Tamandua tetradactyla: one gene and its partners. The protein of the gene in region 1 purifies or fractionates together with the protein of each later gene. This does not show direct contact. Links are inferred from orthologs where the notes say so. Each region holds a gene or a part of one and is shown in the gene's direction. Other genes may lie near its edges.

Region 1 (8,018 bases):
ATCACATCCTCCCAGAATATACATACCTACTTAAAGTCTGTTAATAGTCATCCCATCACCTACACGGAGGCAGTAAACTGAAGGCAGTTCACACATACATTTTATTTCTCCCACACCTTTTGCTCATCAAGAAAACAAACCCATGGAGCCAGGCAAAGCTTTGAGATATATAGAATATCATTGAATGGTACTTGCCATGAGAGCCAAAGTTAGCTGAAGCAGTCAACTATAATCTTGGTGGGATTAAACAACTTTTTTTCTAGTAGAAAAGAACTAGGAATCAGAAGTCCAGGGCATGAACTGCAAAACCACTTCCTTTTCTAAGTTAGGTCTTAGGATGTTCCATTGGTGTTTTGAACAAGAATTATTCTACATCTGGCCCAGGAATCTTTCTATACATTGGATGGAAAACTTCACTGAAGTTTTCATGATCATTGATTCCTTAGGTGGGTGAGTATATTTTAACCCTCAAAGTTGCAACACTAAGTACAGCAATGATGAATTCATAAAAAGATACAATATGTTAAAGAATGAGTTTGATATTTAAATATCCATGGTTGAAAATTTGGCCTATTAGAGAAAAAGACCAACTTATAACTCCGATTTATAATGTGTAATTGAGTAATTGACATAGATTTTGTTTTAAATTGAAGCTAGGTTTATACATAGTATTGAAATACACAATAGAACCTAGCATATGCATGCACGCATATACACACACACACACAACACCCTGTCCTTTTTTAAGCTTTTAGACTTCGTACCTGGAATGGTTTGTCAGACAGAATGCTTAAAATAATTTTATAAACAATGTAAAAAAAAAAAAAATTGACTGTAGCAAACACATTTATAAATTGAATAAGATTTTAATATCAAACTAAAGAACTAGGCTTCTTAGTTTTAAACTTTAATGTTTTAATCAAATACCTTTAACAACTAAGCGCCTGAAATAGTGTTTTCTGTGCAAAGCCACCCTCAAGAGCATTAGGATGTCACACTGTCACAAAAATCCAGATTCAGATCCTTGTAAAATCAGAATACATGGCAAAATTGGACTGCATTGCTGCCTGAAATGATGGTCCCCTCCTTGAGATGGTACATGACCTTTCTAGTTCACCATAGTCCCCTTCACATGTCACATTTACATACTCAGACCTTATAAAGACACTTGAGATTTTGACCCATTCATCCAAAACAGTGATACTCAAACAGTGGTTATTGGCCCTACAAGGAGCCATTTGGCAATGTTTAGAGGTATTTTGGGGGTTCTCATAACTGGCATCTAGTGGGTAAAGGCCAGGGGTGCTGCTAAACATCTAAAATGCAAAAAACAGACTCCCTAAACTTATTAGCCTAAAATTTCAATAGTGCAGAAGTTGAGAAACTCTGATCTGAAAGAATACAACTAAACCCCTCAGCTTAGCACAAAGGCTTTGAGCAACCTATGACCTTTGTGCATCCTAGAAACTAATCCACTGACATTATATGGGTTATAAATATCTTCACTGTTTAGAGTTCTTTGTTGTACCTAAGTTCTTAAATTGATGTGCATGAGTTTCTCTATTCTTTAAAATTTGTTCTTTATTTCTTTCAAAAGATCCTTTCCTACCCTAGGGTTAAAAATGTTTTAATATGTTTTCTTCTAAATATTCTACAAGTATTTTACATTTATACCTTTAATCCATCTGTAATTTGTGTGATAAGAATCAGAGATAATTGTTTCCATACGGATAGTCCATAACAAGGCTTCAACATCTATCAAGTAGTTCATCTTTCTCTATTATTTGGCAACACCAACTGTCAGATACTGTTTCCAGGATCTTTATTTTAGGTTCTACTTTTATTGGAATCTTGCAATTTGATATGGTGACTCATTTCCTATCTTTGAGCATTAGGTTCTTTAGATTTTTCCATGAATGTAGAAGTTTATTGATTTCTCCATAAAGATAATGATAAATTTACTCCTGGGGTATGATGTCATTTTTTTTATTGAAGGTTTTGTTTGTTTGCTTGCTAACTGCTATTTCCATCAGCTTTTTCTGTTCGGATCTCATCTATAGTAAACTTGCTAAGTTGTCTTTTAATAGGTTTCTGTAGATTCTCGGATTTTTTACTTTGTCAATCCATCACCTGTAATGGTTTCTACATTTTGCAATACTTGCTCCAGTTTTCTTGTCTCAAGGTACTGACTGATTTCTAGTACAGTTCTGAAGAGTAGATGTCTTCATCCTCAGTTGGTTTTAGAAGGATTCACTTCTAATCCTTCACATTTAAATGATTTTTCCCCCTAGGATTTTTAGTCAAACACTTAGCTTTATGAATCTATTAGTGTAAGGAATTTTATTCTATGTGGCTTTCTAAATTTTTAAAAATCATGAATGGGTGGTACTGAGCCACTTTATGACAAAGCTGCTTTGTCCTTTACGGCCGCCCGATCTTCTTGAAGACTTTTTCGAACATTTGGAGATGCAGCTTGATAGCCTTCCTCCATCTTTGAACCTGCCTCCTCTTCACCCCTAGCTTTCAGGGAAATCCACTTGGCTTAAAACAGCTTTGAATGTAACGCTACTCAGTTTTCAGAGATTAACCAATTCACAAAAAGACCTTAAGGGTCTCAAAAACTATCTCTGTTTATTTAATAGATAGTTTGCAAGAGATAAAGTCAAAATCAGAAGCCTGCTATTAATTGAGATCAACAGAGTAGAGCCAGGGATAGATCTCCCTTAAGATTCTTTAAAAGTAGTGTCAACATATTCATTCTCATCAAGCCCCACCTAATTCCTTCCTCCACAAATCAGCTAGTCCTGCAAAAGTTAACACAAATGTATCCCAAAGTTTCTAAGAGGCTGACAGCTAGAAGGGGATTTGAGTGCATTCTCTCCAATGAAGGAAAGTAATTACGTCAAGGAAAAGACCTCTCAGTGTTACCAACTATTGAGGGTAACCAAGGAATCAGTAAAAATAATTTGTGGGTCTTATGAAAAGGAATTGACATTTCAGTGTTGCTTTCCAATCTTTTTGCTGTGAGAAAACATGCAGTGTTGAAAAGCTAAGCTTCACTTCTTTCTCTCTGCCACAATTACTGAGGACACTATATTTCATTCGTTTTCCCCTCACCTCTATCCTTTCTTTTCCACAACAGTTACAAGATAATTCTTCACAATGATTCCAGGTTAGGCTGAGTCAGACATGGGAAGGGGATGGCTAGGTTTTACAAGTTTTTCCCCCAAAATACATCATTTTTGGAGGATTTCTTGTCACCCCAAAAAAGCAACACTTGATTATATTTCACACTGCATACTATATAAGATCCTGGAAATGTCAGAACTTTTTAAGTAAGCAGGGTGCCCTGCATCAATGACGATCTTCTTGGGCATAACCAATTTACCCTACAAAGTCTGATACTTACGTATTAAAAAAAGCTACAGGTTGCTTGTTGATTAAGCAAGCACCCCAAATCATCTGAGCTTTGGAGTTTATTTTCCATCCTAACAAGCTATCTTGTACTCAGAAAGTTATGCAGATGTCTCTTCCCCAAACATACATACACCCACACACTCACAGAAGGTGGAGTGGAGACTTAAGGAAAAGGGGGGAAATCACTGTTTGTGAAGGTTATGAAAAGGAAATATTAATTTGACAATGGTGTGGAGCCAAACACAATTTTCCCACTTATCTTTATTGAAGACAACTGGTTAATGACTTATAGCAGGGAGGCAATGCTGTTTAATTAAAAAACATTTCTCAATGCCTTTCCCTTTTGGATTAGTCTACAATGATGTGTGTTTCCCCTTTTTGATGAGATTTGCTTTCTAATTTTACTGATACCTTTATAGCTACCAAAAATAAGTTAGTTCTAGACAGATATTAAAATGAGAACAGACTTTTGCCCATTTTTTAAACAAAAATACAAAGATACTACAGGCCCATCGCAAACTTCAGTTATGTCAAAAAATGTGATTTCTATATTCTTTAGTGGCATATATAAGAGATAAGAGAGCCTCAAAAATCACATTAAAGACAAAACATATATTTGAGCATTTGTCTTAATTTTTCTTCTCCCAGCTACCTCCCTCTTACGCAGTTGTTAGGAAAGCTGCTTGATTCACAGTCTTGAGAACCGTAGATCTGGGCCACAGCTGTGGTCAGTGATGTCCCCTTTTTGCATTTTCTAAGACAATAGCAGCAAAATACATTATTGAATAACACCTGGTCTTTAAGCACACTCAGGCGTTTGGAATTCCTTTCAAGCTAATTGTCTCCTTCATTTTGTTCGTTTTAACAGGGCTTCCCAGAACTTTATACTATGTGAGACGGGTTTGAAATACATTAAGGAGCAAGATAGGAGCTAAATGTTCTTTTTTGAAATGGAGCAAATCCTGCCTGAGGGGCCTCCTTTTTGCTTTTCAGTTTCTACTTCCCTACCTGTTCCCCAACCAATCCCTTTCCTAGCACTGAACAAGAGAAAGGAATTGGAATTCTTCACGCTTTATAATATAGTGTTAAATAAGTAAAGCACTACCAACGAGAGGGAGAAAAGATTAGGTTACAACAAACAAAAACTCCTTGTTGTAGTTTCTGAGGTAAAGTAAAATCCACGCTATTGACTATCTTTATAACTGAAAATTTTCAATTTTAAGAAGAAAAAACTAGGTTTCAGTGGATTAGCGTAGCCTTCACTACTGCATGTCTTCATTTCCCTTCAATGTTTTTAACTTAGCTACCAACAGATCCATACACCAACCCTGCAACCCCGTCCAGCGAGAGAAGCTAAGCAGATTGCTAGCATCCCCCTCCTTTGCTTTTAAGCGGCTGCTGGAGGCTGAGCAGGCTGAAGCCGGGAGCGGAAGCCACGCCTCCAAGAAGGGCGGGCCAGCCTCCCAGCCACATCCTCCGCAAGGTGAGGGGCGGGGTTCACGGTGACGTCATTCGGAGGCCCTCTGTGATTGGAGGGAATTTAGAAGGGAAACAGAGGGCCCAGGAAAGAGGCGGAGCCTAGTTTCCTTGGTGACGGGTTGCCCGGCGGGTCGCCTGGTAACGGGTCGCGGGTGTTTTGGTTGTGGCAGCGCAGGCGGTGGAGGCCCGGGAGGTCTGTGGGCTGGAGGCCCCGCCGGCGTCCTTCTGTCTGCTCTGCGATGGCTGCGGCCGCTGCAGTCGTCACACCGACAGGTTTGGAGGATACAGTGTCTCGGACCCGCAGCGAAGGGGCTGGAGAAATGGTCGTGGAGCGGGGGCCCGGCGCGGCCTACCACATGTTCGTAGTGATGGAGGACCTAGTGGAGAAGCTGAAGCTGCTCCACTATGAGGAGGAGCTCCTCCGGAAGAACAACCTGAAGCCCCCGTCCAGGTGGGTCCACTCGTCCCTGAGCGCCTGGGTCCTAGCTGATCCTGGGGGAGATGCCTTCCCGCGTCCTACTGGGGAACGCCGAGCACGGGTTAGAAAGCACTTTCCTCCATCTTCCTAGTCGGGGAAGGGCAGCTTACCCCAAACTCAGCGACACTGTTGTGGAGCCCACAGAGTTCAGACTTGGTATTTTTGTAGAGAGAGGAAACAAGTTTTGGAATGTCAGAGGGACTAGAAGACAGCTAGCCTATTCTCTAAAATGTACACTTGTCACAAAACACAGACTGTATTTTCTGATTATAAAAGTAATAAAAATACCCATTGTAGAAAGCTTAGAAAAACACAAAATTGTGCAGAAAAATACTAAAGTCATCCGTAATCTTATCCTCAGGAAGGAGCACTGTTATTTAGCTCTATTTCTAGTCTTTTAATTTCCTCTGCGAGGACCTTTCCATACAACTGGCAACTGCAGGTACCTCAGACTTGCTGAGTACTTTATATGTAAACTTGTTGACTAATTGCTATGGTTTAAAAGAACTTCTTCTGCCTTTGCAATAAAGGTACTCTCAGAAACTAAGAAGTGGGAAGCAGAAAGAAATGACAAAATATTGAAATTGTCTCCTGGTAGAACCTAAGGTTCTGCCCTTGTTCCTACTGGGGAAAAGTTTATCTTTCCTTGATGATAGTACCATTTCTTGCTTGAGAGTAATGGATAGCAGCACTTTCTCCTCCAATTAACATAGTCCAGCTATAGTCAAATGAGTTTTATAGGGACTACATTTGTTTATTTTGTATAAGAGGCAATTTAGATTAAGAAGACTGAGCATTTTCTTTTAAAGTTTGTAACTAGGTTAAAGTAATTTTCCTCGAAGTTTTAATTTCATTCCTCTGCTCTTTTCTAATAATTTAATAGCATACTATGTAGACTTATGTAAACTGTCCATATTGCTAAATCAATCCATAATGTCAGAAAAATTGGAGGAGGAAAAAGTAGTATTGCTTGATCCATGATAGAACCTGTTAGATGAGGAGTTAGCATGAATTGATCAGGATAATATAGACAACTTACATTTTCTATGTTAATAAAAATTCGTTACCTTTTTCCCAATATATTTTTCAAACTAAATGAAAATGACCTCAAGGTTCTGTTGATATCAAGCTCTGTACTCTTTCCTCAGGAGTTCAGCAAGATACTTTGAGTCATGAATACAAATGAAGATATGCTGGCTCAGTGGTTCTAAAAGTGTGGTCACCAGACCAGTAGCATCAGCATCACTTAGAAACTCACTGGAAATGCAATTTCTCAGGCCCATTCCCCAATCTACAGTATCAGAAATAGGTGTTAGCATTTTGTGTTTTTAAAAGCCTTTTTGGTGATTCTTATGTACTTCAAGATTTGAGAACCACTATCCTTCCTCTTTGTTGGTATATCAGTTTCTACTGTCCTGGAGGGGTAATCGGCTGAAAAGGAAAAGATGAGTTATTGGTAAGTGGGTGCTTTGAAAGGGTCCTGAGCCTATATCTGAAAGGGCTGCAGGGCCTTTCCTTCTTTCTCAGCTTTTTGTTATTTTCAAGAACATTTATTTATCCTGCAGGAGAAAGTTTGGGAAACATGAAGAAATAAACCATTAATTCTTATGACAAATGGTGAGAATAGCTATTAATACAACATAAACATAATAGTAATACCTTTAAGTGAAAAAAGCAGGATAAGATCTTTGTTCAGACTGACTTGAATGCTATTGCTTGCAAGTTTTATTCTTAACATGTTTAGGTATAAATCATACTGATCCTCATAAGAATTTTTTTAGTAGGCTAGATGATTTAACAAAAGTTAACAATATTTGTTAGAATGGAGATGTGTTACTCTGGTTTTTTAAATCCTCGGTATACCATAGAACCATCTTGGGAGCTTTTAAAATAGACTCATACTGGGCTCCATTCCCAGAAGTTCTGGATTCATGCAAAGATATTAATGGCATGTTAAAAAGTAAAAATTTATTGTGAGTGGTCATTAATGTGTTTTTAATAACTCTGAGTTTCCTGTTTCCAGATTACCATTTTCAGGAGGCACTCTCTTATTATTTCTAACAGCTTAAATGATTTTGGCAAAACTTCCACATACACTACATTTTCTAGATATAAGGTCTTTGAGGTAATATTTTATGTACAGTAGTAATTGCCCTAATCCTATTTGTTAAAAGTTTTAATGTGAGTGCTGTGGATTACTGGAAACTTTAAGGGGTGAAATATTAGTGTCTTTTGATTTTAAGGCCATTTGAAAAATGGAAAGGGTCCTTTGGCAGATTTGGACTGAGCGTCTTTAGGTACCACAGACTTGTTTGCATTATTTCATATGCTACTTCTCTCCCCAACCCCCTTGTTTTGAAACAGACACTATTTTGCCCTGCCTACCAACCCTGGTGAACAGTTCTACATGTTTTGCACTCTTGCTGCTTGGTTGATTAACAAAGCAGGACATCCCTTTGAGCAGCCTCAAGAATATGATGACCCTAATGCAACAATATCTAACATATTATCTGAGCTTCGATCATTTGTAAGTGTAAACAACTCTTTTCTTTCTGCACGTTCTCAAGTTATGAACTTTAATATTGGTGATTCCACAATATAAATGCTAGATGCTTCGATGAATTCTCTCTGAATATATGTAGCT
Region 2 (7,063 bases), on another chromosome or scaffold:
TCCACTTGGGAGGAAACCGAGGCAGAAAGGGTAGCAAGCAGCTCCAGGCCACCCAGTTAGGAAGTGGCGGGGTTTGGATTCGAACACCTGGCTCCAGGCAGCGCTGCCCTCAGCTAAAAATGCCACTCACTGCAGTTAAGGAATGTACAGGGCATGCGGTGCAAGAGGTGTCTAAGCTGAGAAAAGCACAGTATGAGTGGATCTGGTAAAAAGGGGAAGGCCCTTCTAACAAAGGAGCTCTTGGGCAAAGGTCAAATTTAAAAACCAGAGAGACCCATCCTGCCCCAGGCACAGAAAGTGCAAAGAAGCTGGGGGCATGGGGGGAACTCACCCACCTGGACAGCGCCTGTGGGGAAGGCAGATATTAACCCAGAGACACTTAAGTCTTTGAGAGGTTTTCAGTGGAAATATGACAAGATTTAGAAAGATCATGTTCTACAATTGAACCAGACATAACCCTAAAAAGAGAATGAGGGGCTTTTTCCATAACTGACATGGAACCTCTCCAAAGTACCTTGTTAGAGGGAAAAAGCCAAGTGTAGAAGACTGTTTGGGAAGATAACTGTGGGGAGAAAGGAGGAGAGAAAGAATAAGAAAATATATAGTATAAATGCGTTTGCTGGAATGTACCTAAGATATCCCTGAAAGGGTGTATAACCACCCGCTGAGAGGGCGTCCCTGGGGGCGGAAACTGCATGGGGCCGGGGGTGGGAAGAGATGCATATTCCTTTCTACGTGCTAAATTTTAAACCTAGGAAAGAGATTATTCATTCAAAATTAGGATTTTTAAAAAGATGACACTGTGTGCTAGTTGGGAGGTGGGGGGCAGGCTGGAGACTGGATTCAGAAGAATTATGAGAGAATGAGATTCTGAGCTGTTACCAAGGCAAGGGCAGGTGGCAAGCTAAGATGGAGTCTGAGCAGGAGACACAGGGCTGCTGGGGAGGGCTGATCTGTCACTCAGCACAGCAGGGGGCAGTGGGTGGGACGCCTCCAGGAGTAGGGAGGGGGGAGAGGGCATAGAAGGGGGAAAGCACAGGCAAGCAACAGTACCCAGCTTAACTTTACCTCCAACAGAATTGGCCCTGGGTGCAGACTGAGCCATTCCAAATTATTTGTCCTCTCCTGGAAACACAGCTCTACAAGTGTTATAGATGGGAACAGTGAGGAACGTTGGCAGCCCCCAGGGTGAAACCTCAAGCAGGACCCGAGGTCAGAGTGGCAGGTTCTGGGCTGTGAATCAAAGGGAGAGAGATACCCAGGGAAATTATCAGCCTGGATGCCAACCTTTTGGTGCTAAACATGGATCATTCTGGAAACGCAGTTCTTGGCTCCCGCATATGAGCTATCCCGGGCTGGTAAAGGAGGTCTCGGTTGGCTCTGGAAGGATCATTAGCTCAACTTTAAATAAAGGTAGTAGCCAACTAAATCAAAAAGACCCCGCAGCCCTTGGCTGCTTCCTGCAGCTTTATTTCCCTGGTTGCTGCTGCCCCCTGGTGACCGAGACCGTGCATCACAGCCTGCGTGCAGTTCCGAGGCCATGGTTCAAGGCCTCTGCTTTGCATTCCGGACGCATGGGAACCCAATCGGTGGCGTTTCCTCTGTCCTTTACCGAGATAAGCATCACCAAGCACTGCATCAGCAGAGGCATAAACAGCCAGGCCCGCATGAACAGAGAAAAGCCGAGCAGCAAAGGTCATGACGACAAGCCTGCACCCAGGGAAGGCAGCATACCACATGCAACACAGTGCATTATAGGACATTATAAAACAGAGCGCCGCCAGAGCGTTATAAATTGCCCTCCGAAGATTCGTCCTCAGCCCACGGCTGTTAATACCAGCTGGCATTTATGGAGTCTCACTACTTGTCAGGGGCTGTTCTAGATCCTTTACACGCCTTAACATGTGATCCTCACAGCACCCAAACGATCAGTTAGGAAACTGAGGCATGGAGAGGTTACCTGACGAAGTGGGGATTCAGTCCCAGACACTCGGAGCCCCCAGTCCTTGCAGATTTCAATTTTAAAACCAACAATCCTCATTCATTGAGTTAATAACATCTAAACCAGAGGTGCTCATCCATGGACAATTTTGCAGCCCCAGGGGACCGTTGTCAATGCCTGGAGACATTTTTGGTCATCACAAGTAGGGAGATGGATTCTGGCATCGGGTGGGTAGAAGCCAGAGTGCCATTAAACATCCTATAATGCAAAAGTCAGCCCCCAACTATGAAGAATTACCCAGCCCCAAATGTCAAGAGTGCTGAAGTTGGAGAAACCCCGATCTAAATATATAAAATTCTTACAAATCTACTACCCCTCTCTTTCTTGCATTAGCCTCTGACATGAGGGCATTACAGGAAGTCTGCTTTAATGAACCAACGGTTTTCTTCTCGAGGGTTCATGCAGAATGACTCTCAAAAGTCTTTTCCCCACTAATTTCCCCTAGAATCTCTTCTTTATTCAGAGAGATTTTGTGTCCAAGGAACTTGCTAATACGCCCTACATGTGGTAGGGCACAGGCAGACAGACACACACACCCTCCGACTGCGATGGCAAGATGCAGAGAGGCTTGCACCCCGTAGAGGGTAAAATCAGCCCCGGGACTGTGCAGGGAATGCCAAGCCCGGCTCATCGCAGCCGCTTGTCAGAGCGGTTAGGAGGCGCTCGGCCTGGGATGATTAAAGAGTCCCTGGGAACTACTGACAGTTGCCCTTCTCCTCCCCTCCCAGCCAAGTCCTTGCTTCTGGGTCAGCCGAAACAGCCGCGCACTGAGGGGAGCAGAGCTATTAACCCCTTCTCCTCCACAAAGCCTGTGGGTCCAGCGCGGGGCGGGGCGGGGCGGGGGAGGGCGGAGGATCCAGGCATCAGGCTCCTCCCATCTGAAAGGTCCTTGCTATAAGCCCAGCAATAAGCCCGTGTACCCCACAAAGCAAAAGCTCAAGAATTGCTAGTTGAATGAATGGATGACCAGAAGGGTAAACTCGACCAAATTCATTCATTCATTCAAAAACATTTATTGAGTGTCTCACCGTGCTGGATTCTGTTCCAAATGCTAGCGGCCGCTTTTCCTTCTGTTTAGTGAGCAAGTTCCCAGGGGTCCCAGCAAAAGTGAGAACAGGGGGTGCATCTGCCCACCCTATGACGATGATGATAAACCCAAAGTCTGCCTAGATAAATTCCTTCTCGTTCATCCACTCAACAATTGTTTGTAAAAATAAAAGACAATAAATCATTAATTGAACACCTACACTGTCCCTACTCTTTCTCACTTTCAATTCTCACAACAACCCATGAGGTAGTTTTACTTCTGCCCACGGCAGTGATTTAAGTCTGGGTTTCCTGACTGCACAGCAAGAGGGACCTCCCAGGAAAGTTAACTGTTGTTTACGGATCCTTCCTGAGTGTTGGGCAAAGTCCTTGACCACAAGCTTGCATACAATCTGTGGCATGAGACACATCTCCATTTTACATGAGAGGAAATGGGGTCCCAGGAAAGTAAGACCCCCAGATCCATGCGTTGCTTCATTCAACCGCCCAAAGTTTAGTCGTTCTCCCATTTGTTCACTGGCACCACCTTAAACGCTTTCGTATTTTAGATTTCAAAGCGTATACAAAATGAGATGTCGCTGCTGGATGCGAAGTAAGGGCTGGATTTCTCAAAACACCTTACAGCTCCAATCCTGGGATGGGAATTGGGAAAGCAACAAAGACCTGCGAATTCAGTGGCGCGCAAACTCGCGCGCAGGGTTTTAACCACCGCAACCTCCCCACTGCGCAGGCGCCGTTCCAGCGTCCCGCGAACCCGAAAGGCCCCTTCGTGGGAGAACCCACTTCTAGAAGGGCAGGGGGTGAAGCTGAGCCTCATTCCTCCGAAGATGGTCCAGACCAGCCTCCGGCCAATCAGAGAACTTCTTTCATCACGGCTCGGGGCTACAAGGCGTTGGAGCGTCTTTTCCCGGGACTTTCCGGAGAGGTAGGGGCGGGAGAGGAAAATGATTGATATCTCCTGCAGCCATTCGTCAAGCGGCAAGAGCTTGAAGAGCAGACACTATGACGAATGGTGTCACCAGGAAGGAATGCTCGCCCCGCCCACCTCCCCCCACTGGATCTGCGGGACGCCTCCAGGGGTGGAGCTTTCGGCGGCAGCCAATCGAGGGTGAGTGAGGAAGAGGAGGCGGGTACGTGGGCGATGGTCGCCTGGTGAGCGTGTTAGACGCGGGACTTGGGGCGGGGTGTGTGGTGCTTGTCCCTGGACCTCGGGACTACGGCTTGGGCCGGGAGGGGAGCCGTGTCGCCACGCTTTCATCTTTCCAGGCTGCTTTCTGAGGCCTGAGCCGAGCCCCATCTGGAGCTCTCTTGCTTCCCCGGACCCTAAAGCTTTTCTTAGCCGCCCCACCTGTCCCCTTCCCCACCGCTGTCGCAGGTCGCCGTCGTCACTCCTTGGGAGTGAGTCCTAGCCCGTCCCCCTTCCCCCATCCCCCTTCTCAGGCAGACCCGGAGCCCCCGAAGCCCACTCTACCATCTCCTGTAGCCGCCGCTCTTCCCTTCTCTGGTCCGTGGTGGTTGGTGGTTACCATGGTGAAGCTGGCAGCCAAATGCATCCTGGCAGGTGAGTTTGAAAACTTGGGGTGAATACGGTGGTCTCCGGAGTCCAGATGCTTCATAATTTATCGAGAGCTTTTGATCACGTAAATTGCTTGCCCTCTTCCCGAGTCCTTGCAGTTTCTGATAGTCAGTTCCCCTGGGTGTAGGAAAAATTAGCTTCCAAAGCACTTGGCAGCTGGATCCTCCACCCCCACCCCACCTTCGACATATTCTGAGACCACCACCCTCCCCAGCCTGAGCTGTATCAGGAGAAGTAGACTCATTAAACAATCAGCTAAATCATCCCTATTTGTGCTTCAACTAAGTCAGTTCTTGGACTCCAAAGTTCAGCACCAATAACTTTGGCAGTCTTTATTTTAGTGATTTTCCCCTGATCCCCACCCCTCTAATAACAGGGGTAAGAGAGAGGAATGTAGAGTTGACCAGAGTTTGGAAAAGGCCCTTGTATGTTGTCCTCAAGACCCAAAGATGTGCTGCCCCGCTCTAGAGAGAATAAGTGTTCAGTCCCCCAAGTGCAGAAATCTTTGTACGATTTGTTGACTAGTAAATCCAAACACCCAGAACCATGCCTGGAACATAGTAGATGCTCAATAAATATCTATAAAATAAATACATGCCATTTCCATCTGTCAGGCTCCCCTTGTATCCATTTTCACACTTACAGAAACAGCTGCCTTGACTTTGTGGCTACTAAACAAATACATATTTTCCTGAGTCCTTGCTGCATGCCAGGCACACGTGTCTCGTTTCAGCAGTCACCATACACAGTGGGGTAGGTGCTGCTAGTGTTGAGATCTTAGAGGTGCCCAGAGGTGAAGTCTCTTGCTCAAGGTCACCTGCTAGTGAAGGTCAGAGGCAGGATTTCAATCTACCCCGCTCCAAAATTCTTAACTTAGGCTACTTTTGAAACTCATGAGCTCGCCAGATTTCCACCAGCTCAGTAAAGAAGCAGCAGGAGTTCTGCAGAGAAAGAAGAGATTCCTTTTTTGCATTGTCCCTCTTCCAGATTGAACATAGATAATATTTTTAATGACCTCTCAGAAATTTGAAATAAAAGGGTCACACAGAAAGATGACTGACAATAGCTCAAATCATACTGGAGCAGAAGAAATTAAGGGTTCTCAAGAGAGGTTCTCATGTTTCCTAAACGCCAGGGGAGGCAGTATTGTGTAATGAAACTGATTCTAGCTGTTCCTCTTATTGACTATATCATCTTGGTTGAAGCACTTCTGAGCCCATTTCCTCACAGGTAGGGTGGGAAAGATTTTATTTTCTCAGGTTAGATTTTTTTTAATGGGCTTCTCTCTTAAACTGTTGTATCTCTTAGTCATTCTTTCTTTATTTTAAATTTAACTCTCCAACGTGGGGCCAACTTACTGAACACTTCCTGTGTGCCAGCACAGTGCTAAATGCTTCAACCCAGACCATCCTGCATCCACATCCCTACAGCGTCGGTCCTTTCATTAGCCTGATTTTCCAGATGAGGTGACTGAGGCCAAGAGTGGTTAGGGCACTCGCCCTGGACCTCACAGCTGATCAGTGGCAGAGCTGGGCTCTAGACCCAGCAATCTGATTTCCAGGGCTTGTTCTTAGCGCTGTGCTGTACCATCCTCAAGCCTGCAGCCTACATCCTTGGCCTTTCTTGAAGCCCATTCCTTCTGACATTTGTGTCATCTCATTTCAGCCATGGCTTGAGTAGGTCATCCCTGAACTCCAGCCTGGCCCTCAGTCCACAGCATCCTTGTTCCAAGGTCTCAAAGGCATCCGCTCTTGGGAAATTTCCAGAGACCAAAAGACTGGTGGGTCAGTCTCCACCGTCTTCTGCCTCCTGAGTTCATATTCCTGTTCTCTGTGCGCACACACACACGTATTCCCCTCACCGATTTTACTTTTCCTTTCACTCCTTGCAGGTCCACTGTTAAAACTGAGTTAATTTATCTTTTTCTGTCACATATATAGATAACAAGGGACATGATAGTCAATTCAAGTGTTGATCCATGCAACAGATATTCATTGAGCACCTACTATCTGTGAGTCAGCATGCAGAGTGCAATAAGAATACAAGGATGAATCAGCCCTGCTGTCATGGAAGTGCTAAGATAGTCATGAGAAGTTATAATGTGGCAAAGACAAACCAGATGCCCTCCATGTGGCAGATGCTGGGGAATTGCCTCTTGGCACAGCTGTTTAATGTTGTGGCTCTGCCGAAGAGAGAAAATAACAATGACATTTATCTATATTTTAGTTGCTTAATAAACATTTAAATAGCACTCATTATAGGCCAGGCAGTGTACATGTTAGCTCATTAAATTCTCATGAGTGAGATGCTATGCGATAGGTGCTTTTTTCTCCATTTAACAGATGTGGCAGATTAGGCCCAAGGAGATTAAGTAACTCACCTAAGACCACACAGCTAGTAAATGGTGGAGCTAGAGCCTGACTCCACGTTCCATACCC
Region 3 (7,607 bases), on another chromosome or scaffold:
GACCTGGGTTTTGTGCGAGCAGGTGAGTGAAGAGGGGCCGGGGGTTGAGGGTCAGCCACGGCTGGTCTGCGGGTGGAGGCGGTTAACCTGTTCACACGCCGGCACCCACAGACCGGCCTCCATCTCCTGTGAACGTGACGGTCACTCACCTCAGAGCCAACTCGGCCACTGTGTCCTGGGACGTCCCAGAAGGCAACATCGTCATTGGCTACTCCATTTCCCAGCAAGTATGAATCAGCCCGCTGCTCCCCCCACAATCTGTGTCCTTGAATCTCTGAGCCTTCCTTCCGTTGCCCGCCCCCAGCCCCCCAGCCTCCCCTTTCCCCAGCGGTGGGGAAATCTGAGAGTTGGTGTTTCCTAGCTGAAGCTGCTCTGTTGGGGGTGTCTGGCTGTTCGGGAGTCCCGGTTCTAGCCTTGAGGCCCGGGACCCGCACGAGGCTCTTCTCCCTCCCGTCTGCTCCCCGCAGCGGCAGAACGGCCCCGGGCAGCGCGTGATCCGGGAGGTGAACACCACCACTCGGGCCTGTGCCCTCTGGGGCTTGGCTGAGGACAGCGACTACACCGTGCAAGTCAGGAGCATTGGCCTGCGGGGAGAGAGCCCCCCGGGACCCCGGGTGCACTTCCGAACTCTCAAGGGCTCTGACCGGCTGCCCTCCAACAGCTCGAGCCCAGGTAAGGATCCCATCCACTCCCTAGGTCCCCCCTGAAACTCGGGATCCTCTGGCTTTTTACCTTGGCCTTTAGCCTCTTGTTTATTTCCCCCAAGGCAAGCACCGGTCTAGCTTAGATGAATAGAGGGATGATTTGATTCATTGTGCTGCCAGGAAAGGAAGGAAAAGCAGGTGGGCAGAAGAATGGTTCTAGACAGCTTGGGAATTAATCCTTTGGGGGAAGGGCTTTCGAGCTTCCTTTTCCCCAGCCTCAGTTCACAGCAGCTGCAGCCTGCATAAGTGAGTGCCTGACCTCTGGCCCTCCAGCTTCTCAGTCTCTAATTCCCTGTCCACTGACCGTTTCCTCCCCGAGATGCAAACTGGGATGGGTTTACCCTGACTCTAATCCCCAGCATCTCCATCCTTAACCCTGTGCCTAGGCCTAATTCTCCAGCTGACTCCCAGAAGCCCAGAGTCTGTCTCTTCCCTTCTCAGGTGACATCACTGTGGAGGGTCTGGATGGAGAGCGACCGCTGCAGACAGGGGAAGCCGCCATCGTCGTGGTGGTGCTGCTTATGTGGGCTGGTGAGTAAGCAGCTGGCTGGGGAACCAGGGGCTGAGTGGGGCTCCCGGCAGGTGGGAGGTCCCTGGGAGAAAGGGTGTGAAGGAAACGGAGTTGAGGGGGATGATGGGGGAGTTGGCAGAGAGGGAGAAGAGGCCATTGGGATCCCAGGGAGAAGACGGAGAGGGCAGACCCCACACAGGCACTGGGAGTTCAAGGGTTTTCTTCTCGGGTTTTCTAGAAGCCATTTGGGTATCCCGCTGCCCTTCAAGGCAGTGATGGGGGAGGTCAGGATCGAGGCTCAGATTGGTGTGGTTGCTGTTTCAGCTGTAATTGGGCTATTCTGCCGTCAGTACGACATCATCAAGGACAACGACTCCAACAACAATCCCAAGGAGAAGGGGAAGGGGCCAGAACCAAGTCCTCAGGGAAGGCCAGGAGGGACAAGACAGGTGATGTGGGACCAGTGAGGGTGGGAAGGGAAACCAGGCAAAGAGAGAAGACCAAAGGGGGGCAGGAAAAGAGGGAGCGTGGAAGGTATGGGTTGGAGGAGGCTGGAGAAAAGGTGTGGCGCCTATTACCTTCCTGAAATTAGAGTCAAACCCATTTTCCTTTCTCAGAAAAAGTCACCGTCCATCAACACCATCGATGTCTGAGTGACAGAAACAAACCAAGAGAGAGATGCGCGAACAACTGGGCATGGGGGTGGGGTCAGGGTGAGCATAAGGCAGTGATCGGTCCAAGGCTGAAGGATCCCACAATCTCCCAGAGGGGGATGGCGCTCCCGCAATCTCAGGCCTGACCCCCATCCTCTTTCCACTGTGAGCAGGGCCAGAAGGTAGGTCTGCCAGCGTCTGTTCCCCTGGACCTGGGGAGTGGATATCCGAAAGGATGCCTCTTCTCAGCCACCAGGTCCAGGCGAGAGTCACTTGTTCAACCCTACCCCGTTAGGTCCCAAATAAGGGGCCCCATTCCACCTGCATCAGGACTCTCAGCATCCCCAGCTGCCCCTATATCTTGCCTCAGAGAGGGGTGTTTCTGTGGGCACTTCCTCTCCCCCAGCAAATGAAAAGAATCATCTGGGGCTGGAGGCAGATGCTGCACTGCACTACTCCAATGTCTTCCATGGAGCCTCAGGTGCTCCCCCTCTCACCTGGCAGTCCCTCCAGCTGCTGGTGATCTCACCCCCTTGGACATTTTTCCAATAAAGGTTCTTGGACAAACCGGAGCTGACTTTATGCTATACTGTAGAATACGCTGAAGACATTTCCCCACTTCACCCCTCTCCTGCCTGGTCAAGGACCCCTCATGCCACCAACAACTTGACAGGGACAGACTCTCATTGTAAGGGGTTTGCTTTGATTCTCCAGGCTTGAAGGGGTAGGCGGAGAGGGGTCAAGGAGAAGGAATGCAGGAACTAGAGCCCCACTTCCTTTCACTTGTTGGATGAGAAGGGGGAAAAGGGCACAAGAGGGATATAATTTCTTTCTGCACAGTGGAAGATTAAGGTTATGCCCCATGACAGAGCCATTAGCCTTTTTACCTTGGCTGCCTACATCAGCAACCCAGCGCCTCACCATTTACTCTTCTGCCGCTTCCATTGACCGTGGGATAATGGTCAGAATGGACTGAACAGCGTCTCAGGGATTAACAAAAGAGCAGCTGCACTGAAGGAACTCTTAGTGCCACAGGCTCCTCTCCTGTGGGTCCCCATGCCTATTCTCTGCTTTTCCCTTCTCTTTCATCTGTCTGTCTCTGTCCAGTTGGTCACATTAATAATTGTGAACTGTAAATGAATCTATATTCAGGCTTTGTAACCATGTCCAGAGGAGGATTCTTGGGAATAAAACTGAGGGATTAAAATTCCCCTGTCAAAAGAATTATACTTTGGACTCTGCCCCACTAGGGTCTACTTGCTTCTTATAAAAATAGGAGCTGTCCTCTACCCTCTCCTAATTCCCAAGGCAGGGGTGGTGACAGCCAGGAAAAAATATCTGCTGACATCTGAAACCACTGTGTGTGTATGTAAGCTTCAGGACCTAAAATCAGGCAGATTTTGAGTAAATTTGCTGTGGTAAATGACAGTATTTAGGATACTTTCTAGGGGTTAAGGGCTTTCCTAGGGATCATTCCACAGGAGGCTTTATGAATAACCCTCCTTTTCTGTGTCTCTCTCTCAATTAGGTTACATAAAATTTGACCAGTAATTCTGAAAGGGATCCTAGCTATACAATCCAAAAATCAAGTAAATATATCTCTTACTTAACCAAGCCCCAATCCCAGGTATCCCAAGACTTAACCTTCACCTATAGGGTAAGCCAAGCTCTCTCTGGTCTGCCCTGTGTTCTGAGTCATATGGGCAATCTCTATCCTCTATCCCATCTTATCGATAGCTCTTTCCAATATGAAAAAATTACAATGGGCATAGCCCACATACCCCTAAAGATTGGGAGAAAGATCAAAGGAGAAGGAGTTATAACATAGTAGATAGGATTTAACAAATGGGAATGACTGCTGAATCATTACACTGATATTTCTTTTAGTCTCCAGTGTCTTGGAGCAGCTAGAAGGAAAAACCTAAAATTGTGGAACTGTAACCCATATCAAACTCTGAAGTCTGTTCTATAACTGATTGTTGCGGTGTGCTTTGAAATCTATTGCTTTTTTGTAAATATGTTATTTTTCACAACAAAAATAAATTAAAAAAAAAGGCAATCTCTAGCCCACTGTCTCCCAATTTGGAAGTAGGACATCTTACCTCTCCCTGGCCACTGATTCCAAAATACTCATCTCTCAACTCTGGACACATTATTTCTTTGGATGAGAGTGTCACAGTGTATATAGCAGGCCGGCAGGAAGGCAGGAGTTGAGAAGGAATATAAAGGGTGTTTAACTTCCATCAGTTCTGGGGTCAATACCAGATCTGTTGGCTTGGGCAAGTAAACCCCTCTAATCCTGAGTTTCCTAATAATATTAGCTCCTTCCAAAGGTGGTTTTGAGCCTAAATGAGATAATGTAGGTAAAGCACTTCGCACAGTACCTGGCAGACACTAGGTATTCACTGTCAGCCTTGTGATCTCGTGCAGGTCACATATAACCTATGTGAACCTAACCTAAATGAACCTAAGTTCATTTCCGGCATAAATCAAATGCCTATAATAGCTACGGTCCTGCTTTCCGCAGGGTCGAAAGGCTTAAAAGAGAATGCACTCGGCCACGCTCAGCGATCGTACATCAAACACAAGCCACCTACCTAGGACCCAGAGTTTGGAGGGGCTTGTGGGCGTGGCTTGAGCGTAGGGTTGCAAGCAGTGACGGGATTGGTCGACGAAAGGCGGCTTCCCGAGGTCCCGCCGTAGGTCTCACTGCGCTTGCGCACGTCCTGTGTGCTTCGCGAAGAGTTTACGTGATGACCTTGTAGCGTTTGCCGTGCCCTGGTCGCCGGTGCGTCAGAGGCCGTCGCTGCGGCTGCGTGGCGGGTTGTCCAGGTAACCACGGGAGTTGTCTGGCTGGTGGCATCTGCGAGACAGGTGTTCGTCATGCAGTTGAAGCACCTGAGGACCCTGCTGAGCCCTCAGGTGAGGAGTTGCGTGCCTCTACCTCCCCCGCCCGCCTTCCGTTCAGAGAAAAGTCGGGGAACTGAAGTTTAACAGTGGCGAGCGTCCATTGTGTGCGCAAGTCTGTACAGGCTGTAAGGATGCTTCGGACGCTGCGCCGTCCACACAAAATGTGCAGTAGGTGAGATGGACAGCCGACAACTGCAGCTTTCCTTACGTTTCGTTTAACATCAGTTGTGTACCAAGCCCCGGGCTGGGCAGTAAGGGACCCTAAAACTACCTAAGTTCTTATCCCCGCCTTAAAGAGACTTGTGATAGAGGGCGAGGCGCTCATGTTAGCAACGAACATAAATCTGTACAGACTTATCTAAGAGATACAAACCTCTCAATAGGGAGTGCGGAAGACTGAACCGTTCATTCGAGTGGCGAAGACCCTAGGATGTGAAAGAGGCTACTAGAGGAGGAACCCTGAGTCATGGTGACAAAAGACAGTCAGGTTAGGAGACCTGAGTTCAAGTCGCTAGCTCCACCACTGCTTTAAACAAATTTCCTGTTTTTTCTGACTTTGGCTCTTATAGGTAATTTCTCTCAGAACTCATCTAGCTTCTTTATTTGGAAAATGGGAACAATAATAGCAACTGCAGGTGACTCAGGGGAGAGTTAAATGAAGTGATAGGCACAAAAGAACTTTGTAAACGGAAAAGCAGTCTGAAAACTGATAGACAAGAGAGAAGAATATTCACAATCGAAAGGACAAAATAATACAAAGCTAAAAGAGTAGTATATGCTGTAACTGAGTGCTTATTATGTCCCAGGGAAGCTTAAGTACAGGCGTTAGGGTAGCAGTCTATGCAGTCAGATATACATGGATTTCAATCTCGGCTCTGCCACTTATAAACTTTGTAACCTTGGACAAATTATTTAACTTTTCTATGCCTCAGTTTCCCCAACTGTAAAAGGGGGGATAATGATAGCATTCACCACAGAGATAGGAGGCTAAATGAGCTAATGCCTGTCAAACATTTTGCAAATGTGTAGTCTATGGGCACTGCTTGTAAAAAGTTAGCTATTATTATTTGATTTCCGATCTCATTTAATCCTCCCAACAGTCCTGTGAGGTATGTCTTGTAGAGAAAGGAGAATTGATTGTGAAGATCAGGAAGGCTTCACAGAGGCTGTGGAAAGTTGAAGGAAATTTAAGAGAGCTGTACTTGTGGCTCAGTAAACCGCACCCTGAATTTGTAATTTAAGAGTCCTTTCCCCTAATAGAATAATTGGAAATGAAATGCCCCTTCAATCTCTTGAGATAAGATGATGTCATGATGCAGGAAAGGGCCAAATGCGCAGGATTGGGCAAAGTGATGAAGCAGGATGATCAGCAGCGGTGTGGAGGGGCCCTCAGTCATTTTCATCTGATGTCATCAATAGTTGGAGAATGTTAGTGGTGGTGGTATGGCTATTTTCGGCTCTTGTTTGAGATTTTTTACTTCTGACTGTGGAGGTAGGTGAGTTAGGAGTGAAGGGAAAAGTAACAGTGTTTAAGCCAGAGTTCTAGAGCCCAACTAATTAGTCAAGCAATTGGAGTAGAAGCTAAAAGTTGTTTTGTTTGTTTGTTTGTTTTATTTCAAGGAGGGCAACCTTTAGTGGCAGAATCATAAAAAATCATGGCTGATGATGGGAAAGGATGGAAAATTAGTGGTCATTTCCAACTTGGGCTTCAGTAAAGTGGTTACTGGGGGGAGAGGGGATGACATTGTTCATCGTAAGTTTCACCTCTGTTTTGCTCCCCATTCCAGAACTTTCACTGTTTCCCCCTTTCCTACCAAAGAAGCCTAAACTGTGTGGCCTGGCTTCAAAGACCCTTCCTGAGCTAGCCTGTTTTTTCCCCTCCCTGCCTTTCCTCCCCTATTCTATTGTGTACAAAGTGAGTTCAGCTCAACTAAATTACTGATTCTTGACCAAACTTGCCTTTGCTCATGCTATTCCTTCCACCTCAAATAATTTCTCCCACTCAATTGTGTCCATTTGTCCAACTTTAATTTTGATCATTTAAATATAAAATTATCTCATCCTTTTCCAAACTATTGTATGATTTTTAGGTACCTCTCTTATGGAACTTTTCCAGTTTTTTACCGTATGATTAGATCCTAAACCCTTCAAGGGTAGGAACCACATTCTGTTCCTCATTACCCTCTCAGCCCCTGGCCAAATGCCTTTCTTGGTAAGGTGCTCAAAGAATATTCATTGAATGATTGGCTAAAGATTAGAACTTATCAGGCCAATTGGGTTTATCTTAGTAGCAGAGTTGGGGTATGAGAGACAAGATGGCCATTGCAGGAACACACTTGTATGATTGATTTAGCATGTCACCCCTTAGTATAATGGTGTTATGGGTCTCTGGAAGCACATTGTTCTCTCAGTTCAGGGTCTGATGGTTACGGAAAGCACTTTGACAGGAAGAAAACTGACTGAAGTCATACCAGAAGCAACAGAATTAGACATGTTTCTGGCATTCTAAACCAGCAGCTGGGTTTATTTTACTCCCTTTGTCTCTCAGGATGGGGCCGCAAAGGTGACCTGCATGGCCTGGTCCCAGAACAATGCCAAATTTGCTGTTTGCACAGTGGACCGAGTGGTGTTGCTATATGATGAACATGGGGAGCGGAGAGATAAATTCTCCACCAAGCCAGCTGACATGAAGGTGAAGAGTGTTCTCATGTATATCTTTTTTCCTCCTTTATTTTAGAGATTATGGGTTTATAGAACAATCATGTATAAAATACAGGATTCCCATATACCACCCTGTTATTAACACCTTGCATTGGTATGTGACATTTA
Region 4 (7,788 bases), on another chromosome or scaffold:
CTGCCATGGCCACAAAAATACCTCGCTGCTCACTGGCAAGTAAACCCCATTTCTGAAAACTCCAAATTCAGCCATTTCAGCAAATAACTAGAAGCAGAGCCAGTTCACACTGCATAGGTCCTTCAGGCCCTCTGTCTAGGAGATGGCTAGCTGGATTTAAATAGCTTTGGACTCACTGGACATACCTCCACACTGGTTTCCAGGAACTGGACCTTTAGGTCCTTGAAGAAGGGGATGACTCCCAACCTCATCAACTCATCCCAACTCTGCTCCCTACCTGGAGGGCAGTCTGGCACATGTTTACCAGCCCCTGAATGAGGTAATATTTTGCTTCAGCCATCAGTTCCTTAATCTCTTGCCGGTTTTGAGGGAGGGTGATGGTATCATCTCGGAGGTAATTCAAAATGGCACCAAAGTGTTTTCCACATCGGTCTATGAGGATCCAGCCTAGGGATTGAAACCAGACCCCAGAGAATTACTGTTTGCTTCAAGGTGCCTCAGAAACAGGAGGCAGGTAAAGGACACCTGGGTGAGCCTGGTGGCAGGTGCTGAAAGGAGGTACACAGCATAGGCCCAAGGCACAGAGGTGACAAGTGGGGATGGAACGTCTAGCTCTCAGGCCCATGGATGCTCCTTAACCCTCCTCCCTGAAATGAAGAATTGGCACAAACCATGGGAGAGACAGGCCTTCCAGGCCCTGCTGTGGTCCACAGAGGTCTAAGCTCAGGAGAGCTTAGGCCAGCACCCTGCAACACAGAAACCACCAGGCTCTGCTTCCTTTATGTCCACTGCCTAGTCACTATGCAATGATTCTTATGAAATCAAGTCCTATGAGAAGTTCTCCCTGGAAAAATGCATAAACATGTAACATTTCATGTACAATTTTAAAGAATTGTGAAGCTCTACTAACAACTCCAGAAGTCCTATTCTAGGTGAATAGGAACAGTGAATCCAGATCTCAGATCTGCTAGGCTTAAGCCGTGCCTTGAAGTCACTTCCTCAGGAACTCCTCCCTCTCTCCCCACCCTACCCAGTAGGCCCCTTCTCACCTTCTTTGTCAGTCAGCACCTCCATGCGCCCGCTGAACATGGCCTTGAGCATGGTGTCATGGCGGGTGAGTGCCCGCACGGTGGTGTAGTACAGGGAGCCCCCCACATTGAGCTGGATGTACTTGTTACCCAGGCCTCCTCCCTTGAAGCTGCTTAGCTTGGGCTTGGCCCCTGAGGCTGGGCACAGGCAGGTATCTCCTGACATCTCCCGCTGCAGGTAGATTACCACACGGCAGGAGGTAGGCTTGGAAGGCTCCGCCGTGGTGGAAGGGGTCACAGGTGGGTGGCCAGTGGAGGCCAGAGCCTCATTCTCTCAGCACTGGGAGCAGGAGATGGAAGAGTAGAGAGAGGTGAGCACAATAGAACCCTTAAACCAGAGGGGCCAAAACCAACAGTAGAAACACTGGCTATCCAGGGGAGCCCTCTTGATAAGCCCAAGCACTCCGTGGCAGAGGCCAGGTCCTCAGACAACAATAAGAAAGACTTTCCTGCTGTTCTTTATTGTACAGGAACCAGCCTGGGAGCACAGTCTCCCAGAACCTAGCTCTGGTCACTTCACCAGGCCAAGAGTGAGCCAGCCCCGACAAAACTCGACTCAGCTCTGGGCAGTATGAAAGACGAGCAAGTCCCTGGAACTAGCTGGAGGCCCTGAAGAACAGACTGGACAGAGCAGAAGTCCTTACCTGGGGAATCGGCCAGTCAGAATCCCAGGATCCCAGACTTCCAGCCAAATCTATAGAGTATCCAGCCATCCTATGAGTTTCCCAGGAGCTAGAGGGACAGGATGCACTTCCTTTCTAACAGATTCCGGACACAGGAGCAGTGCTTGGTCTGAGCACCTCTGGGGCTTGGTTTCAAGAAGTAAAGTAAAAGCAGCTTCCTGAGAGAACTGAGTGAGCAACGTGGGAGGGAGCTGGCCACAGGGTTCTTAGCAGAGATTATCCTGGCTCCTGCTGGGGTTTCCTAACCTTCCCCTTTCTTGGCAACAATCTTGTCCCAAGTTCCTAAAAGTGTCACCATTTTTCAGGGTAGAACAACTACAGGATGGCTATTTTTGCTTCTTTTTCCTGAGAGGGGGTCCAACCCTATCTTTTCCTGTCTTCCCTCCCAACAAGAATGGGGAGAAAGGACCAGCAAAGACCCGATGATAAATCTAAAAACAACTAAGTGATTTGGAAATCGAAACACTAACAGGAATTCATAGAAAGAAGGAGTAAGGAAAGAAAAGGATGACCAAGGCAGGTCATCCCTCGTGATTTAGATTATATATGATATGGCTTTTGCTTTCCAAAGAATCACCAAAATTCATTCACTGAAAAAAATATAGCCAACATTCATTGCATGAGTATTATGTGCCAGGTACTATTCTAGGCATTTAATATATAATTGATTCGGCAAAAAAACTAAGTGTCTATTATGTGAAGTAGTACGGACAGTGAGATGAAAAGAGATTACACTTGCCTTCAAGGAGTTCAAAGAACTATCATAATGTTAAGAGTAAAAGTAATAAGAATTAGCTTTTGTCATGTGTCTGCTATTTGCCAGGCACTGGGGTTACAGAAGAAAACAAAGTAGGCATATCCTCATGGAGCTTACATTCTAGTGAGGAGAGACAGATGATAATTATGCCAACAATTTCAAAAAGTGATAAATGCAGTAAAAATAATAAAACAACAATAATGGAGTGATTAAGGGGAGTCACTAACTTAGATAGTGGGCCAGGGAAAGTCTCTTTGGGAAGGGAACTTTTAAACTGATATTTGAAAGCACATTCCAGAGAGACAGAAGAACAAATGCAAAGTTCCTGTGTTAGAAACAAGTTGGAGAAACAAAAATAAAGCCAAGGGTGGTACGACGGTAGCTCAATGGCAGAATTCTTGCCTGCCATGCCAGAGACCTGGGCTCGATTCCTGGTGCCTGCCCATGCAAAAAAAAAAAAAAGCCAAGATGCTGGTGCACAGAAAGAAATGGGGAGTTGTTTGATGTAAGGTCAGGAAGGCAGGGTCTGGATAGTATTAAAGAGTTTGGGTTTTATATTAATTTCAATGGGAATCCACTGGAGATTTAAGCAGGTGAGTGACATTCTCTGATTCATGTTTTGAAAAGATCACTCTGGCTGCTCTGAAGAGATTGGAGTGGAAGGGTGTTAAAGCAAGTGGGAAGATTTGCAGTGGTAATAATGGAGACAGAAAAAAGTGGAATCACCTCATTTAAATGTCATAACAAGTAGGAGTTTAGAATTGCTCATCATCTCTTAAAAGTGCACTGGAAAGCAGTGCACTGGTTTCCCCAAATGGTGCTTAGCACAATGCCGTGCATGTTTTAATTTGATACATGTCGACTGTTAAACTGAAACTATCCCTGAAAAGATTTAGGTAGGTCCCTGGGAAGAATGTCCAAGGAAGGGTCACAGTGGGTGCTGTGTGGAGTACTGAATTCCTTTGGCAGCTTGTTGGGGCGCCTCTTCCACCTGCCTGAGGAATGGGGCATGAATGAGACGAGCTCTCACTTGCAGAGACTGCCTAATCGATGAGTAACACTTGCATGGCAAGATCATCTTACTTCCCTCCGCCCACCCAAAATCTTTACAGGTTTTAATAAGTTCCCCATGTATTTTATGTCTAGCTCCAATTCTCCCAGAACTATCGAAAGCATACTACATTTTCTGTCACAGCAAAGGAACTCAAAGGCTTAGGCTTACCAACAGAGGAAGACAAAAGTCTCCTGAGCTAATCTACTCCCTTTTCTACAAAGCAATTCCTTTGAGCTCCGGATGACGTCAGTTCAGATTCCTCCCAGACCAATGAGCCCCAGGAATCCTCTGGCGGGTGACGCCCAGAAAGTGATTCCAGCGGGAATGAAATTTCCACTCATAGCCTCATTACTCTTCCTTCCGGACTTTGTGTGTGGATATTTGGGGAAGCTGGGGGCGTATCCGTGTTTCAGTGAAGTTTAAAAGGCAAACCCGTGCAGTTTAAAGGGTAAACACCACAGTGAATGGGGTGGGAGTTGAAGTCCTGAAAGAAGGACCCAGGTATCCGTCACACGTCGGGGATGGCTAGGGAAAGCGGATCTTGGCTGGAGAGGGTGGCTCTAGTAGAAATCCGGAGTGTGAATCTTAGGCTTCATATGAAGGGTCTGGGGAAATTTAGCAAGACCCAATTTCTCCTGCGGCCACTGTGGGGTCTTCCCCGGCCCTTAACCCTCCTAACTGCCGAGAAACTAAGACCCAAACTATCCCCCGCGGAGAACTCGAGCTCGCCGTCTACCCTACCCTGTCCCACTGGTGGAGCCAAGAGAACCAGGTGGGGCCCTTTTGCTCCAGCACCAGACCCTTCCATCCCTTTCCCCGGGACACAGGCAGGCCCAGCTCTCACCATCCACGAGGGCGCTTCTCTCAGTTTGGTTGCGAGCCGACTCCGTGCTGCACCTGGACTGCAGTCGCCCTCCCGCCTGCAATCCGGGGCAGTGAGCTCACATCCTCCGCTTGCGGACTCCGCCCGCAGCCGCGCCTCCGTTCTGCCGGCCGCGGCAACCGGGACTACAAGGACCGGCATTCTCAGCACCTTAACGGAGTGGAGGGAGGAGTCCCTTGGAGTATTCCGCAGTGAGACAGCAGCTACTTCCGGCGACCTTGCCGACGCAAAGCCCTCTGGATCTTGTAGGCTACCACCCCAGCCCTTAGGCTTCTGTTTCCCAGCAGGCTCTGTGGGGCGGGCGCACATAAGTGCTTCCGGCGTCCGGCCGTGACGTACTGGGTAAATAGGCTCTGTAGCCGTGGCAGCGGCGGACGCGGATGGGCCCCGCCCCGAGCCCGGGTGAACGGGGATCTCTGCGGCCGCCGGCCTCATCCTGGGCTGCAGCGCCCCGCCGCTCCTGAGCTGACAGGTAGGCCTTGACTCCGGTTTGGGAGAACAGGGCTTGGCTCAGTACTTCTGAGCCAGGTGTAGACTCGGGCAGAATCAGGGCGAGGTGAACCTGCCAGGGCCGTTCCCTGAGGAAATGCAGTCCCAGACCAGAAGAAATCTGAGAATCCCTCCCGTCTCTTTAGGACTGGAGCTTTACGCAAGGATGCTCGTTAGGACCTTGCGGGGAAACTATGATTCAGATGAGTTCAAGGAGTTTACTTAGTTCTTTTCCTAACTTTTTGCCTTGTACTCCCCGCCCATAGCCCATGAATGGAGCTGCTCATGGTGCCTAGCTTGACTCTGGGAGTGCCGCTGTGCAGTGTCACGGCCCTCATCGTTAGGAAGTTCCGTCCCGGCTCATGTGCGCGGTGTTTCTCAGATGCTCAGTACATGTATTTAGTGAGAGTTGAGAGAGAATCTGTGAACCCTTTAACCCTTTCTCTACGCCTTTTCTCCGGTCTTACCCGTCCCCTCCAACCATGCAGTTGGTTCAAGCAAGATCCCTGGAAATTATGCCCGGTATTCAATCAGTCCATTACCAGTCTCCCTCGATTCGACCTACAAAACATCTGAAATCGGAACACTTTTCTTTAGTTCCTATCGTTGGTTCCACAAGCATTTACTGAGTGCCAGTTATGTGCACACACCATGCCAGGTGCTAGGGTTACAGTGATGAACAAGGTAGGTGTGGCCACACCCTCTTTTCCCTTCCAGTCCAGTATCCATGCTGAGCCAGATGATCTTTCTAAAATGCAAATCTGATTATGTCGCTCTGCTGAGACTCCAGGGACTACCCAGTACTTGTATGATAAAATCCCAGCTCATTACTGGGGCTTTCAGAGCCCTCCATGATCCACCTCTATCCTTGCACGGCGTTGTCTTGTTCCACTCTCCCTCTCATTTACTGGCTGTTCTAGTTTGCTAGCTGCTGGAATGCAATATACCAGAAACGGAATGGCTTTTAAAAAGGGGAATTTAATGAGTTGCTAGTTAACAGTTCTAAGCCCGAGAAAATGTCCCAATTAAAACAAGTCTAAAGAAATGTCCAATCAAAGGCATCTAGGGAAAGATACCTTGGTTCAAGAAGGCTGATGAAGTTCAGGGTTTCTCTCTCAAGTGAGAAGGCACATGGTGAACACAGTCAGGGCTTCTCTCTCAGCTGGAAGGGCACATGGCGAACGCGGCTCATCTGTTAGCTTTCTCTCCTGGGTTCCTGTTTCATGAAGCTCCCCGGGAGGCGTCTTCCTTCTTCACCTCCAAAGGTCGCTGGCTGGTGGACTCACTCTCTGCTTTGTAGTGTTGCTCTCTCTGAACCTCTCTGAATCTCTCATTCTCCAAAATGTTTCCTCTTTTATAGGACTTCAGAAACTAATCAAGACCAACTCAAATGGGTGGAGACATGTCATCTCCTAATCCAGTTGAACAACCATTCTTAACTAAATCACATCAACCAGGGAGATGATCTCATTATAGTTTCAAATATACAGTATTGAATAGGGATTATTCTACCTTTAAGAAATGGGATTTATGTTAAAACATGACTTTTCTTAGGGGGCATACTTCCTTTCAAACCAGCACACTGGCCTTTCAGTTCTTGGAATGTGTCACATTTCTTCTAGCCTCGGGATCGCCACACATGCTGATCCTTCTACATGCAGTGCCTCCCTCCCTCCTGCACTTGAAAAATTTGGGGGCAACTTTTAGGTCTCAGCTTAAGTGTCACTTTTTCAGGTAGGCCTGTGTTGGCAATATTCACTTACCCATAGGAATATTGTCCTCCACCTACACCTTCATGTAGCACTGTGTGCTTTATTTATTTTAATTTTTATATTGAAGTTGTGGGTTTACAGAACAATCATGCTTAAAATGCAGGATATCTGTATACCACCCTGTTATTAACACCTTACATTGGTGTGATACATTTGTTACAGTTGATGAGAGCACATTTTTTATAATTGTACTATTAATTATTTAAAAAACCATCATTTAACCTAGAGTCCACTATTTGTATCGTACAGTTCATGGATTTTTTTTTTTTTTAATTCTTGTAGCACTGTTTGCTTTTTCTCATGCTATTATCAAAGTCAGAAACTGTTCTAGTTTGCTAGCTGCCGGAATGCAACACACCAGAGACGGATTTGCTTTTAATAAAAGGGGATTTATTTTGTTAGTTCTTCAGAGGAAAGGCAGCTAACTTTCCACGGAGGTTCTTTCTTACGTGGAAGGCACAGGATGGTCTCTGCCTGGCTTCTCTCCAGGTCCCTGGGTTCCAACAGCTTTCCCCGGGGTGACTTCTTTCTGCATCTCCAAAGGCCTGGGCTGAGCTGCAAGTGCTGAGATGAGGAATGCCGAGCTGCTTAGCTGTGCTATGTTGCAATCTCTCATTTAAGCACCAGCCAATTAAGTCAAACGTCACTCATTGCTGCTGACACGCCTCCTAGCGGACTGCAGGTGTAATTAGCAACAGATGAGGTTCACGTACCATTGGCTTATGTCCACAGCAGCAAGACTAGGTATGCTCACCTTACCAAATTGACAACTGAATCTAACTAACACATGTCCACCCCTTGTCAACTTGGCAACTTCAAGCATCACCTTAAACAGGTGCAAAAACTTCTCTTCTTGCTGTGGGCCCGTGAATCTCAAAACAAGGTATCTGATGCCAATATGCAAAGGAGGATAAACACTGGATCCATAGGGAGAAACTGGAAGGAAAACCTGCAGGCAAACACCATTGGATTTCAAAGTCTGAAATTCATTTATCCTTCGGCTGTAGAAAGTGGTAGTCCCACCCCTTCCAAGGGCCTATGCAGTGGCCGGCCTCTTTCCAA

What was found.
Region 2: the proteins of IFT57 (region 1) and IFT27 purify together in Homo sapiens (co-immunoprecipitation; 3 studies listed by BioGRID and IntAct, with this or other methods). This does not show direct contact. The link is inferred for Tamandua tetradactyla from reciprocal best matches to the Homo sapiens genes IFT57 and IFT27.
Region 3: the proteins of IFT57 (region 1) and IFT172 purify together in Homo sapiens (affinity purification with mass spectrometry; 3 studies listed by BioGRID and IntAct, counting the BioPlex papers as one, with this or other methods). This does not show direct contact. The link is inferred for Tamandua tetradactyla from reciprocal best matches to the Homo sapiens genes IFT57 and IFT172.
Region 4: the proteins of IFT57 (region 1) and IFT20 purify together in Homo sapiens (affinity purification with mass spectrometry; 3 studies listed by BioGRID and IntAct, counting the BioPlex papers as one, with this or other methods). This does not show direct contact. The link is inferred for Tamandua tetradactyla from reciprocal best matches to the Homo sapiens genes IFT57 and IFT20.

The regions. Positions count from the first base shown.
Region 1 is NC_135336.1:38,855,316-38,863,333, forward strand, and holds the start of IFT57 (intraflagellar transport protein 57 homolog), read left to right. Parts: upstream 1-5,011; 5' UTR 5,012-5,135; coding exon 5,136-5,347; intron 5,348-7,738; coding exon 7,739-7,901; intron 7,902-8,018. UniProt on the Homo sapiens protein: Required for the formation of cilia. Plays an indirect role in sonic hedgehog signaling, cilia being required for all activity of the hedgehog pathway.
Region 2 is NC_135333.1:29,076,437-29,083,499, reverse strand, and holds the start of IFT27 (intraflagellar transport protein 27 homolog), read left to right. Parts: upstream 1-4,061; 5' UTR 4,062-4,157; exon of another isoform or gene 4,158-4,201; intron 4,202-4,489; 5' UTR 4,490-4,576; coding exon 4,577-4,610; intron 4,611-7,063. UniProt on the Homo sapiens protein: Small GTPase-like component of the intraflagellar transport (IFT) complex B that promotes the exit of the BBSome complex from cilia via its interaction with ARL6. Not involved in entry of the BBSome complex into cilium. Prevents aggregation of GTP-free ARL6.
Region 3 is NC_135329.1:11,404,753-11,412,359, reverse strand, and holds the start of IFT172 (intraflagellar transport protein 172 homolog), read left to right. Parts: upstream 1-4,607; 5' UTR 4,608-4,751; coding exon 4,752-4,790; intron 4,791-4,814; exon of another isoform or gene 4,815-4,950; intron 4,951-5,161; exon of another isoform or gene 5,162-5,244; coding exon of another isoform or gene 5,245-5,265; intron 5,266-7,326; coding exon 7,327-7,470; intron 7,471-7,607. UniProt on the Homo sapiens protein: Required for the maintenance and formation of cilia. Plays an indirect role in hedgehog (Hh) signaling, cilia being required for all activity of the hedgehog pathway.
Region 4 is NC_135332.1:51,606,067-51,613,854, reverse strand, and holds the start of IFT20 (intraflagellar transport protein 20 homolog), read left to right. Parts: upstream 1-4,782; 5' UTR 4,783-4,937; intron 4,938-7,788. Other genes in the region: TNFAIP1 (BTB/POZ domain-containing adapter for CUL3-mediated RhoA degradation protein 2), read right to left, coding at 278-447, 1,050-1,254. UniProt on the Homo sapiens protein: Part of intraflagellar transport (IFT) particles involved in ciliary process assembly. May play a role in the trafficking of ciliary membrane proteins from the Golgi complex to the cilium.